Linked DNA regions of Drosophila melanogaster. The protein of the gene in region 2 purifies or fractionates together with the protein of the main gene of each other region. This does not show direct contact. Each region holds a gene or a part of one and is shown on either strand. Other genes may lie near its edges.

Evidence for each region. The genes of interacting proteins can lie anywhere in the genome.
Region 1: the proteins of mip40 (region 2) and mip130 purify together in Drosophila melanogaster (affinity purification with western blotting; 3 studies listed by BioGRID, with this or other methods). This does not show direct contact.
Region 3: the proteins of mip40 (region 2) and lin-52 purify together in Drosophila melanogaster (affinity purification with western blotting; 2 studies listed by BioGRID, with this or other methods). This does not show direct contact.

What each region holds. Positions count from the first base shown.
Region 1 is NC_004354.4:1,906,286-1,911,614, reverse strand, and holds the start of mip130 (Myb-interacting protein 130), read right to left. Parts: upstream 3,377-5,329; 5' UTR 3,263-3,376; coding exon 3,260-3,262; exon of another isoform or gene 2,788-3,259; intron 2,696-2,787; exon of another isoform or gene 2,165-2,695; intron 975-2,164; exon of another isoform or gene 859-974; coding exon of another isoform or gene 1-858. Other genes in the region: Rbcn-3B (Rabconnectin-3B), read right to left, coding at 1-858; Edem1 (ER degradation enhancer, mannosidase alpha-like 1), read left to right, coding at 3,996-4,120, 4,181-5,309.
Region 2 is NT_033778.4:19,290,413-19,294,364, forward strand, and holds mip40 (Myb-interacting protein 40), read right to left. Parts: upstream 1,785-3,952; 5' UTR 1,686-1,784; coding exon 882-1,685; 3' UTR 693-881; downstream 1-692. Other genes in the region: Fkbp12 (FK506-binding protein 12kD), read left to right, coding at 1-44, 106-324.
Region 3 is NC_004354.4:5,752,514-5,756,906, reverse strand, and holds lin-52 (lin-52), read left to right. Parts: upstream 1-1,948; 5' UTR 1,949-2,022; coding exon 2,023-2,062; intron 2,063-2,117; coding exon 2,118-2,291; intron 2,292-2,365; coding exon 2,366-2,470; intron 2,471-2,550; coding exon 2,551-2,705; 3' UTR 2,706-3,258; downstream 3,259-4,393. Other genes in the region: CG15771 (uncharacterized protein), read right to left, coding at 703-852; CG15772 (uncharacterized protein), read right to left, coding at 3,259-4,038.

The DNA of each region.
Region 1 (5,329 bases), on a different chromosome or scaffold from region 2:
GCAGTTTGCGGGCAGCTTGTACAAGTAGCCCTTTCCCTCATCTGTCCATAGCATTACCCGGTCGGAGGTGATGAAGTCGCCGCCCTGCCAACGTTCCCTTGCGGGAGCAATTACGGAGCAGAGTACAGTGAAGTCGCCGGCATCGTAGATCTGCCAGTATTTGGTACAAACTAAGAGCACTGTGCGCTGGTTCTGGGCGCAGCAATTCATGGTGATGGCATTCAGGCAGCGGATCTCCTTGGATTCGTTCTCGTAAATGGGCTCCGCGTGTTTGTTCTCGTTACCCGTCAGAGTCCAGACCTTCACGGTTCCGGTGGTGGTGATGGCCAACACTACGTCATCCTTGCGACGCATGGGGCGCAGTACGTGAATAGCGGATATCCAATCCGGTTTGACCTTTGAGCTGAGCACGTAGATCACCTCTAGGCTGAACGGATCCATGACCATGATTTCAGCATAGTAGCCAATGCAAAAGAGGCGCACATCCTCGCTGTTGGCGGTGTGGTAGCTCTGAATTTGGGTGTGCACCTGTGGAAGCTTGACCGCCTCCATGCACTTGCCGTCCGTAAGATCCCAGGTGCACATCTCTCCGTTCTCAGACGAGCTGACCAGGAAGTTGTTCTCCGGCAGAAGCGAGGCACGCACTAAGCACAAAACGGGCGCCGAATGGCCCACCAAGAGGCACCGCGGCGACATCTTCAGGGTGGTGGGCTCCACTTGCCAAAGGCAGATCTGTCCATCGTAGCAGCCGGTGACCAGGGTAAACTGATCGTCCGAGAGGAACACGCTAGAGATGCAGTGCGTGGGCGCGGTGGGACCCCACAGCACCACGGGTACCACCAGATTGGTACTCACCATGGTGGTGCGCTTTACCCAATCTGTGCGGTGGCTCTCCTTCTTCTCCTCCTCCGCCGGCTTCCTTCTGCTCCCTGCTCGTGTCGCTGGTAATCGTTGCTTTGCTGCGACTGCGGGCTCTGCAAGAATAGTTATTGAGTAAACATTTGCTCACTTCCACCTAGTGGATGCGAATTATTTATGGTGGCCCCTGTGTGTGTATGAACTCCAGTTGTGGTCGGCTTTGAGTGCGTGGATGGTGCAGTGAAAGCTGCTAGTCAGTGACTCACCCAAGGTCCTTCGAATTCTGTGATTTCTCATCATCATTTTATTCAACCTGCTTTCCTAGCAGCTAATAGTGCTCTACAACCCACAGCTGTACGATGTAAATTGAAAACTGAATTTATATGGCGTTCTTAATGGAAAAGATGAATGGCAAAAGGGGTAATGTTGCCTAACGTTTTATAAACAAGCTCAGTTTCTCATTTCCTGTTGAATGTTTAAACAGACTTCGGGAATAAGCGAAATCGAACTAAGCAAAGTTTACATTTACAGCTTATGCAATTTGTAAACAATATAAGAACAATTAAAGGAACAAAGTGCAGCCACATTGTCGAGACTTTTCATATGCTTAACTGACGATTTTTGGGCCACTTACAGGAGAAGCATAACAAATTGGGTTGTAAATTCAAAAGTATTTATAGAGATCCATCTTAAATCTTTACCTAGAGTATGTGATAAGATAAGAACTTCCTATTTTTATGGATAGATTATTTGGTATAGCTACAGTCTTGGGTCTTGCGAGCTGGTTCTCTGGTCTGATAGTGATTTCTGTGTGTTATAGTTGTATCAATCAGGAATATGACTTTATCGTGTTAGAGAGTTCTTCACAGGGCTTTCCCCTCCTAGCTTGCAGGTGAATTTGTCAGTCGGAGTGACCTGCAAAGCTCTTCAGATAAGACCGCATTACAGGGGACACTCGTTCCAGCACACGCCACCTTATCGGCACATGTGTCCAACTTGGCCAGCCTCCACTGTACTCCACTCCACCTCGGATTGTCCAAAGATAAACAAGGGTTATACAATACATATGTGCGGCAAAAGCAGAGACTCAATCCGCGGATATATATCGGGTTTCGTGCGGAGCTGGGTATATGGGAGGGCGCCTGATGTCGCCAATTGAAAGATCAATTAATTGGCCGACTATTTGGCATCGCAATTTGAGCGGATTTTGCTTCTGCTATCGCACACAAACACACACACCCTCACACCTGGACACGCACACAGGGACAAGCCATAATAATTGTAGATAACTGGGCATTTATCTAACATTTTTCAGCAGTTTTCCGTATTGGGCTGGCTGCCGCGCGTGATTCCTCCGCTATGGATTCCGATTCCGATGCCAATTCCAATTCCAATTCCGAATCCGAGTTCGATTCCGAGTCAGCCTGCTCTCGATATGGAGAACTTAATGATGGTCCGCTACTGGTGGTGACGCTGCTTATTGATCCTGGTCGACGGACATCGCGGTGGCGGAGCAGCGGACTTCAATGTCGATTTCGATTCGATTTGATTCTAATTTATGGACACGGGACGGGCGAAACGCACACCACCCCCCGAGCACACCAACACACCAACACCTTTCCGCTGTACAGATTGCTTACAACACACACACGTTGCGTTGCTGTTGCTACTTTGTTATTGCTTTTGCTCGCCACTTTTGCGAACTGCTCATATTTGTTGCACACACTTTCCGCTGGAACATGCACTCCACGGGATCAAAACACTGCACTGTACTTTCGATTTACTTAGCTATTTCCTTTTTTTTTACACGAGTGTGAAAAAAAAGCAACGAAAATCGACCGTGGAGTAAAATTTTTCGATAGATTTGCGTGAGCGGATAGGGTTGCAACCGCAGCTCCGGACGCTCTTCTATCGATGCCATGCGAGGGGCGACAGCCCTGACCAAAAAATTTAATATTTTTCTTTAATTGTTTATAAATATGCAAACAACTGGGTGGAAACACGATTTCCAGATCCCAAATGGCACACGCTTATATCTACGGTCAACGGGATGGTTTCAATGTGGTTTCTGGTCAGCCAGAGGCAATCCCGCATGTATAGACCCACAATGTTGTTACTTTTCGCCCAACGGACAATTAAGCATACGCGATTGCATTTAAACGATCGCCTTACGCGGAGTACAAAAGGCACACGGGCCGTGATGCAGTTACTCCGCGAGGTTATAGTCGACCCTCTTTCTGAGTTTTTTTTACGCGGAGAATGATTCAAAACCGAAACACATCGCTGCCCATCGCCAGAACTGCAATTCGCAGTCGGAAGCGTAACAAAGGCTGCGGATTTCTTGGTCAGCTCATCCGGAGGATGTCCGGGTGTGAAACGGGTGCAGAGGGCAGTTACTTACCATAGGGTACAGTTGCTTCTATTGGAGGCGGTCGTTTCGCTGAATATTTTGAATTTAAATCACTTTTTACCCGTACGAACACACACTTTTGAATGGCCACAAAAAAAACTGGTATGTGCTGCCAACTCGACGCGAATAAAAGTATAAAGGAACGTGTGCCGCGCAAAGCAGTGACAAACAATCGGTATATTTGTCATCACAAACTTTTTGAATTCTTAAAGAAATTGCCATTTAATTTTTCCAACCCGACTTTAATATTGCCGCGCTGATTTTACGGCTATTCTGAGCTGTTGTATTCCTTTAACAAGCAATGACCACCATGCAAATTCGATCTGACCACCCTTTCGATAGTTATTCGATCAGCAACAGCTGATTGCACCCTACGGAATGACATATCCTATTGCTAGGGATTTTGTTGGGTAAAATTAACGTACTTCAGAATTGGCGGAGAATACAGTGTTTGCTAGCCTATAGTGTTTGGTTGTTACCTTAAAAAAGCTCTTTGGCTTGTGTTCTTTCCCCCGTTTGCTACTCTAAGCGCTCTATAAAAAAACACTCACCGAACGGAATTAGTAGGGCATTCGGCGGTCGATGCCACCGCCGAATCAGCCCTTGTTGTGATTTTGCGTCAACGTAGCCGCATTTGACTTCCACACATCCCACATCCACGCTGGCTATGGAACACTGACCATGCCCATAATTGAATTAGCGGCCCTGATTGATTGACTGTCCCACGATGCAGCAAAAACCCCGAAACAACGGCTATCCGGGCACCCTCATCTGCGCGGTCCTCCTCGTCCTGCTGTCCACCGGTGTCAGCGGCCAGAAGCAGTATTCCAAGGCAAGAAAGTTGGAACTGAGGTGGGTCATTGCTAGGGCTAAACTCGGACATACTAATCCTAACCGGCAATGAATCTGCAGGGAGGATGTGCGGCGCATGTTCCAGCACGCCTACGATGGTTACCTGCGCCACGCCTCCAACTACGATGAACTGCGTCCGCTGACCTGCGATGGCCACGACACCTGGGGCAGCTACTCCTTGACACTGATCGACGCTCTGGACACGCTGGCCACCATGGGCAACTTCACGGAATTCCGCCGCGCGGCAAGACTGCTCGAGGAGAAGATGGATTTTGACAGGGACATCAACGTGTCCGTGTTCGAGACAAACATCCGCATCGTGGGCGGGCTGCTGTCCGCGCATCTGCTCTCCAAGCGTGCTGGCGTAGAGCTAGAGCCAGGATGGCCCTGCAAGGGACCTCTGCTGCGACTGGCGGAGGATGTGGCCCGACGATTATTGCCAGCCTTCGTCACGAACACGGGTATGCCTTATGGCACGGTGAACCTGCGCTATGGCGTGCCCAAGGGCGAGACCTCTATAACCTGTACGGCGGGCGTGGGGACATTCCTCATCGAATTTGGTACCCTTAGCCGGTTGACCGGGAAAACCATCTACGAGGATGTTGCTATGAAGGCGGTACATGCTCTATGGGCATATCGCTCGCCCATTGGACTTTTTGGCAATCACATCGACGTGCAGAGCGGTCGTTGGACCGCCCTCGACTCTGGTATCGGAGCAGGAGTGGATTCCCTTTTTGAATACCTAGTTAAGGCATCTGTCCTGCTCAATCGCCCAGAACTCTTGGAGTTATTCCATGAGGCTCGCGCGGCCATTGATAAGTACATGCGGAAGGAGGACTGGTACGTGTGGGTAGGCATGAACAAAGGCCGCGTCACCCTTCCCGTCTTTCAGTCCCTGGAGGCGTTTTGGCCCGGCATCCTGAGCATTATTGGCGACACGGAGCCGGCCTTGCGCACCATATCACGGTACATTGGGGTCTGGAAGAAGTACGGCTTTCTGCCAGAGTTTTATAACATTGCTGCTGGAGAGGCATCGCCGAATCGGGAGGTGTACCCCCTGCGACCGGAGCTAATCGAGTCAGCTATGTATCTCTATCGAGCCACAGGAAACGAGTATCTTCTGGAGTTTGGTGAGCACATGCTGGAGACCTTGGAGTTCAGTGCCAAAACCAAATGCGGATATGCAACGGTGAGAAGTTCTGTGAACAA
Region 2 (3,952 bases):
AGGTCACGGTCCACTACACCGGCACCCTGGACGATGGCACCAAGGTGAGTACGAATCCCGATCCTCGCCATCCCCAGCTAATGATCCGCCTTGAATTCCACGCAGTTCGATTCGTCGCGCGACCGCAACAAGCCATTCAAGTTCACCATCGGCAAGGGCGAGGTCATCCGTGGCTGGGATGAGGGAGTTGCCCAGTTGAGCGTCGGCCAGCGCGCCAAGCTGATTTGCTCGCCGGACTATGCCTACGGTAGCCGTGGCCACCCCGGCGTCATTCCGCCCAACTCCACCCTCACCTTCGACGTCGAGCTGCTCAAGGTCGAATAGGCGCACAGGATGCCCAATGTGTATACCCCAAACCAAATCGCAGGGGGTTGCGGACCGGCGCACCGGCGACGAGCCGAAGAACATCATAATCGGAACCAGAACAATCCAGCAGCATTTGCCAACCCAAAATAATAATGATAACTTCATACACAGCTCTAAACTAGAACTAATTTAACCGCAAAGGGAACGCATCTTCTACCAATACAAATAAACATTTATTCAAGTCAATGACAAATGTCTTTCTTATCAAAAATCTTGGGATAATCCAATCAAATCAGCTGCGGTTGCCTTTCCGTGCTGCAATACAAATGCATTTCATATTATTTTTTAATCAGGAAAATATGCAAATATAAAAACGCTTTATCATTCTCTTGATAGACTTGAAGTGGTCTACTTGACAAATTTGATTTTATTTTATATAAGTATATAAAGTGTACAAGCATCTTATTTGCATATATATTCGATTTGGAAACAGGATTTTTTTTAATTCTTTGTGCACAATTAATCCAAATTATTTTTCATTTTCTATACCACTTCCAAAATCACCTAGATACGCTTCAGTTTTTGCAGACCAAGCTCATAATCTTGTCAATAACTTCATATCGCTCCTTTTCATACTTCTTGATATGCTTTATCCAGTGTCCGCGCACTTTCTTCCAGCGGTTCATATTGGAGGACAGAAGATCGGAGGTACTGGCACCTTGGAGAGCCTTTTCCCGCTTCTTGTCCTCCTGGCTGAACTCCAGACGAGGCGGAATTATGGGCAGATCCGTGGACTTGGCCTGCGGGAGCTGGTTGATCACCTTTATCTCGCCGCTTTTAATTTGGGACAGGATTTCTTCGCCGTTGTCCTCACGTTTGGTGGCCGTGAGTGAAGCATCTGTTTGAAATGCACCCACAGCTGGATTCTTGGGTTGATTTGCCATCCATGCGCGGCATATGGGGTACAAAGGAGTCTTATCCTGGTATTTGGACAGGTCCAAACTTCGCTCAAACAGGCGCATTACGTAGGTCTCGCCGGGCGCCTTCTGGGCGACTGCCGCTGCTCCAACGCTCTTCTTGTAGAGCACTCTCCTGGCCTTGATGCGTCCTCCGGCGCCGGCTGCGGCTGCACTCGAGGATGTCGAAGGCTTCTCGCTAGAGCCCGACGTGACCGTCTTGACTTTCGGATCTAGCTTTACCTGGTACTGACGCTGCTGTTGCTGCTGGATGAGCAGCTTCTTCGAGGGACGGCCCCGAATGGGCAAATCCGACTCTGCGTCGTCGTCCGGCGGCAGGTTTGTCGTCTCTGGTTTCTGCTCCTCACGGCGCGACTCCCGCAAGCGCAGGGCCGTTTCCTTCTTTTTCGGCACAGTCTTCATTTCCAGAAATCTTGTATTCGACACGAAAATTAAGGGAAAACAATTTCGAATGCCGAATCGGAAATCAAACGGACTTACGGCGCTTCACAACACTGAAACACCACTTCGCCACGCAACACTACATAAGTCAGTGGTATTTCAAAAAATACCATAAATTAAAGAAAACAAACGGTCTTGGCGCCTAACGCTAGCTTGAGAAATAATTCTTTGAATTATTTGTAGCTTAAATGAAAAGAAAAAAGAATAACATATATATTTTTAAACAAAAACTTAATACACATTAATATTTGACTATTCAAAAATATTTAATAGACTTTGATTGTTAAATTAATACTTTTGTAGATTAAAAAAAAAAAAACAAGGAAATGAAAGTCTTAAAAATTTGGTATTTCTCGATTTGGTAATTTTAACCCAAAACCTTTCGGGCTTTTCAACCCACCTTTTATGGTCACACTGCTGTTTTGTGATCGCGAAAAGAGCGACGTGAAAAATACATTTAATTAAGTTTACTGCGAAAAATAAAATAAATAACTAAATTAAAACAAAGCGGAGCTTTTGCGTGAACTGTGTGTGTAGTTGTGAGTGTGTGAGAAAAGAAAAACGAAAACAAAGCCAACGAGGAAATCGAAGGGGCAAAAGTGGAAAAGATTCAGATTGAAAAGCACCAAAATATCGAAATCACAATTTGAATGTCAAAGAACAAACGACAAAAAGAGCGGAGCAACAAAGGAACATTGGAAAAGTCAAGAATTTAACTTATTCGGTAAGGATGCAAATTGTAAATCTGTGGATTTTGCTTCTTCTGCTCACGCACACATCCACATACAATTGGGAAGTGCACAGGTGTGGGTGGATCTGCTCTGTGTGCAAATAACAAATTGTGAAAAACAACTCGCACACATGCAGATCACCTAGTGCACCAAATAAAAGCAATAAATAAACACATTTCCAAACGGGCAACAAGTTGTGAATGCGTTTTTTAAGGGGGAGGGGCCATACCAAGTTTCCCAACGTTTCACATTTTCAATCGATCTCGGTTGTTTTTATATATGTATGGATATTTTTTATCTACTATTGCGTAGCTGCCAATGTCACCTGTTTTTTGCTCTCTCTCTCTCTCTCTCTTGCGCTCTCTCCCTCCCTCTCGCTCGCACCCACGCTGGCTGTAGCTGGTTTTTATCTTGTGCCGTTAACACAGCCATTACGTGTCTCTTTCGCACTCGCACTGCACATTGGTGTTCGTGTGTCTGTGCAAGACTGCACGTAACTGTATTACCCATTCGTACATGCGTATACGTATTTCCGCCTATTGATAACGGCTGAAACTCCCTCGAAATGGCCGTCTTTTCGAAATATGTAAACGAATCGTTCGGGTACATCCCCCGACCACCACCCACCCACCGCCCACTCAACCCCCTCCAAGCGCTTCTAATCGCAAAGTGCAAATATTGATTTGCTATGTGTGCTTTTAGATTTTCTCCCACTATCAATAACAATAAGCGCTCTCTGTACGTTGTTTTTGCTTCGGTTTGGTTTCGTATTAAGAAAACAAGTTCACAAGTTTTTGCACTTGTTATGCACTGTAAGAAAAACGCAAGTTTTATTCAAGAGCTCCGCATTACCGCATTATATTGCCAATTGTGAAACTTTTATAATATTTATACTAGCAGCTTAGTTTTGTAACTTTCGGAAATAAAAAGTTTTGGTAAAACAAACAAGAAACATTTTATTTATTTTTTTAAGTGTTGATCATTGTTGCTGTTTCGTTTTGTGACTTTGTTTATGTGGCGGTTTTCTTGTAATTGCGGGAATTTCCCGGCATTTCAGCAGTTGAGAGTGCAAATATAAAGCAGAGAGAGAAACCCTCATCTGTTTGTGATTATCTGAATTCTTCTTCCGTATTTAAGCGTTAACTCTGCTTTTGAGCGACAAGGCTGTTAAATATTTTCAGCTATAACACCAAAATTACCCTTTATCTCGCAATATATTAATAAATACAAGTCTCCAAAAGACGTCATAAATTAAAACGCGATTTAAATGACGTTTAAAGCGACTTCTAATTTATGTATGTTTATCACGAACTAAAAATTTAATTACTTTATAAATTTTAAATTCTCAAGATAGTGAGCAACTATGTATGTTTTAAAGAAAAAATTGTTGGAGTTCCACAAAATTTCGTTTGAAAAATTGAGTTTTTATGTACCAAATATGCAAATCAAATGAAACTTAAAAGCTGACTTAGAAATCCTTTTGTTTATATGGGTGAA
Region 3 (4,393 bases), on a different chromosome or scaffold from region 2:
CTGAACGTTCAAACAAGTACATATTGCGAAGTGCTACCTATTATCATCAATTAACCTTTAGCTTCTTTGTGTGCCATTCACTTTATAAGAAGGTTATATTTCAAAAGAAACCATTGACGCGGGTTTCCAAAGTTTGTTGGTATGACGTTTCGTTCAACTTTTGTTAAGTGCAAGTTCCTCGATTTCCGACCTTTTTGCAATCGTTTGCAATCGATAATGCGCACCACGATAAGATCCTGTAAAGTGCCTTTTAACATTTCGAAAACCGAAGATTCCGAATTTCCAACGTAATGCCGATTATTTAGTGGGTTTTAGCCTTCTAAAGTGCATGTACCCGTGGTTATATTTAAGTTAAGACCTTGTCGAGTGCACTCTGAGTTTTTCTTTTTTGTTTTTTTTTTTTTTGTGGCTGGGGGATGTGAAGGGAAGGGAAAGGAAATCAATCGGAACGCAAATAAACAATCGAAATTTCGGGCGCGTGCTATCTGCCGAGCGTCCGGGTTTTTTCGACTACGTAACAACGGGCGGGCTGCAGTGGAAAATTTTCTAGCTGGGTCGCCCGCCTGCTGCGCACTTTCACCTCCCCCGCCCCGCCCCCCCACAAACACTACATGGAAAAGAAACGGAAGAAACGCCAACGGATTGGTGATTGGCAGAGGGGGCAGTGAGGCTGTCTGCCTTGGCTTGGTTAACAAAGCTCACCTTTCTGATCGCCTTGGAATCGCCGGCTCTGGTGGGAATCAACGTGTTGTCCAGGTCAAAGTAAAAGGCCCTGATTTTCGCACATGTCGCATCGAAATGTGAATGTGTGGCTGTCAATTGCTTGCCGCAATGGAATTTGCTAGCTGCCATGAGAGTCGTCGAGCGGAGGGGGGGATGGAGGGTCAGCGAGGGGTCACTGTCAGGAGTGGAGGGGTGGTAGCCGGTTGCTTGGTTAGATGGATGGATGCAAACGTAGAGATCCAAGAACAACTTTGGTGCAATTCAATCCGCCAGCGGATTTGCGCTTTGAAATTGGCGCCAAACGAAACGAAACGAAATGTACGAGCTGCACGACTGCAGCAGCACTGCAGTATTTTTCTATTTTCCTCGAGCGGACTGGCAAAAGTTTCCGCTTCTCGCGCGGCGAAGTTAAAACGGCAACTGAATGACAGCGACAAAAAAAATAATGAAACGGAACGGGAGCGGTCGCAGTAATGTCGAGAGACGGGGTAGCGGGGCGGCGGAACAGGTGAGCGCGTGTGTATGAGTGCTTGTTGACTGAGTGAGAGCGGAGCAGCGAATGAAAAACCGAAAGAAAGTGCGAGGGCGCATGGGAAAACAGTGGTGGCCAAAAGTCTGCGTATGCGAACAGTGCTACCAGGCGGCGGCGCCAATTGATAAAAACTTGATAAGATATTGTTATTCCTTAAGATTTTATATTATTATTAAGATGTTCTTGAATAAGTTTATTTCAATAACTGGTTAGACATCCGTGTTGTGTTGTTCTGGACAACTACTGCGCAGCACATGTGCTTTTTACGGGCACATATTTTTTGGCGCCACTGTGCGAAGTGTGCCAAGTGCCGTTTGCGCGCCAGAGCGAACGAGAGCAGGCGACCTAGCGCAGAGTTGTCTCTATGCGCCGTTAAACGACCGTGAGTGGAAAAGAGAGCACGATAGAGGTCGCGGAGAGGTTCGCGTTTCTCTGCTACGACGCCTGCTCTCCACTCTGAATTTAGTATAAGTCGAGGCACGCTCATTTCCTAATTGTTGTGCCATTTATTTTTAACTTCTATTAATAAAACCAGGAAAAGCAATAACAACAGTTCTTTGTTTACCAAAAATATCAGTTGTTTTATACTTCCTGGTGCTTTCTAGCACTGGCTTGGCGGTAAATCGATAGTATTCGATAGTGATTGTTGAAAGTGGCAACGCTATAGTTTTTGTTTAACGAGGTGGCAAGTGATTAGCCCACGGATTTTTTGGCATCTTTCCGTGTTTATTTTCAATAGTTTTTGGAGTTTTTCAACATTATCCGCGATGAGCAACGCAGAGACAACTACGGATTTGCTTTCTACAGGTGAGTAAATATTTAAATCACATGAAAGGCGCCATAAAACGAGGTTTTCTTGCAGAAACCATTCTAAAAGCGGCGGACGAGGAAGTGGAGAAGGCTTCAGCGTCCAGCAGTAGTACGTTATTGGCCGAAAAGGATGTCCCGGAGGTCAAGGAGCGGCCCATAACGCCGGAAGACGAGCTCATCTCCATGGAAACTCTGCGACCCTCACCTGTCCAATGGCCAGAGCGTTGTAAGTGTAGAAAACGTGAGCACGAAGAAATTGGCGCCATTTTTAACGCATATCTTTATTTTCGATTGCTCCAGTTCCCGGAATGGACGAGTTCCTCTCCATGAGCGACACGCCGATGTACACGCGCAGCACCAACTACACCAGCAATCTGACCGATGATGATATGGTTAAGATTAATGGTAAGTAGCTGCAAAGTCAATGAGATTTAAGAATAGTATATTAAAGAATAGCATATCCATTACCTACTTTTCTATTCCAGAACTAGCCCAGCTCCCTCCCGAGGATCTGATCGATAAAATAAAGTCAATGCATGATGAAATTTACCAGCTGGGACTGCGTGAGGCAATGGAGATGACTCGTGGGAAACTGCTGGGCATCTTTGACCGGGATCGCGCTCCTAAGCGGCAGCCATGAGGCTGGATGATCCGATCCCTAAGAATGGGACTGTCGAGGATCTCGTTGAATTCGCATTAGGAACATAGGTGTAGTTTCATAGTGTACATAGTGCTATTTTTATAGTGAGTAATGCGTGTTGTGAATGATTTATCGCTATTTTACAAAGATAAATAGGCAGGCGTTTGAACAGTAACTAACGTTTATTTCCATTAAAGCATTTTGGGTCCTACACGTCGCTTGTATTACAGATACATTTGAGGAGTCGGAGGAGAGATGAAGTTGACGGATTGGAGGGAAAGGAATGCAGAAGGATCTGGAGTTTTTGGAGAAGGCACAGTAGATTTCGCTATGCAGGGACATTAACGCAACAAATAACTCTGTCTATGTGGGATTGGATGGATCGGTTGCGCTCTAGTGCGTCCTATTAATACTTAACTAAATGCTTTCGTTCGGATTTATGCAGTAGCCTTCCCCACGATCCATCCCAATTTGGGAAAGTGTGTTGGTGCTGATGGTGTGCTTACATGCTGTTTCCCGTGAATATATATCCAGTAACGTGCATCAATTCCCATTACTCCTGCCACTGCATTCCGAATCGCTGCTCAAAGGTGATCCGGTTAAAGACGCCCGCATCGGCCAGCTGCAAGGGATCGGTGTAGTACGCAAAACGCCGTATATCCAGCATGGCCAGGTCGAACATTTGCTTCCAGCTGGTCAAATCTGTAACGCTCATGTGGATCGGCAGCTGGGGATCCGGTATATCGATGGCCGCCTGCAGACGGTCAAACGCCTCGGCAATTGGTCCCACCGATAGATTAACCCAGTACTCCGCTGGAAAGCGCTTGTTCTCACAAAACGGCGCTCCCTTGCGCATGATGAAGACCAGCATGAGTATCTCATAGCGCTCGGAGCTCTCATAGAAGCGCTTGGTTCGGGTCTTCTCCACGAAATCGATGAGAAGGATCAGGGGAGTGTAGTTCTGGAGGTGCATCAACAGCTCCCGGTCGGTCCAAAGGTAACGGCCGCCTTTGACGGTCAGCAGGCTCATGTTGCTGGCGAGTTGTTGATGCTGCTGCTGCTGCTGTTGCTGCTGCAGCTGGTGGTGTTGCTGCTGCTGAAGGTGTTGCTGTTGCTGCTGCTGATGTTGGTGTTGCTGCTGCTGTTGCTGCTGGTGTTGCTGGTGCTGCTGCTGCTGGTGTTGCTGCTGCTGGTGCTGCTGGTGTTGCTGCTGCTGATGCTGCTGGTGAATGCCGCCGGCGGATGGGGCTGGAGTTCCGGTGTTGGATGCCACCTGGCTGGGCATGGCGACCACAATGCCCGTCTGTCTCTGGCAGCCAATCTCCTCCACCATGTGCGCTGCAATGACGACAAAATGCATTTAAGGCAAGTGCCTAAACCAGGCCAAGGTCGCTGCGTTGGCCAAACACCCAGCCACCCCCTGCCCGCCCTCATTATTACTTGTTGCAAATAGCGAGCAGCGAAGAGCGAACGTGCAGCAAGTCAAAGGCTATGGCAATTGCAATTGCAATCAACTTACTGCGTGCCCCAATCAAAGCGGCAGAAATTATGTGTGTATTTATGAGGCGGATGGATCAGCGGGTCTGGATTTGGATCGGGGTACGAATGTGGCCCCCAAGAAGCAGCGGCCTATCTCCTCCGGCAGCTCTGCGTGTTTGCCGTGCGCCCTGGACGATTGTTGCCACGCG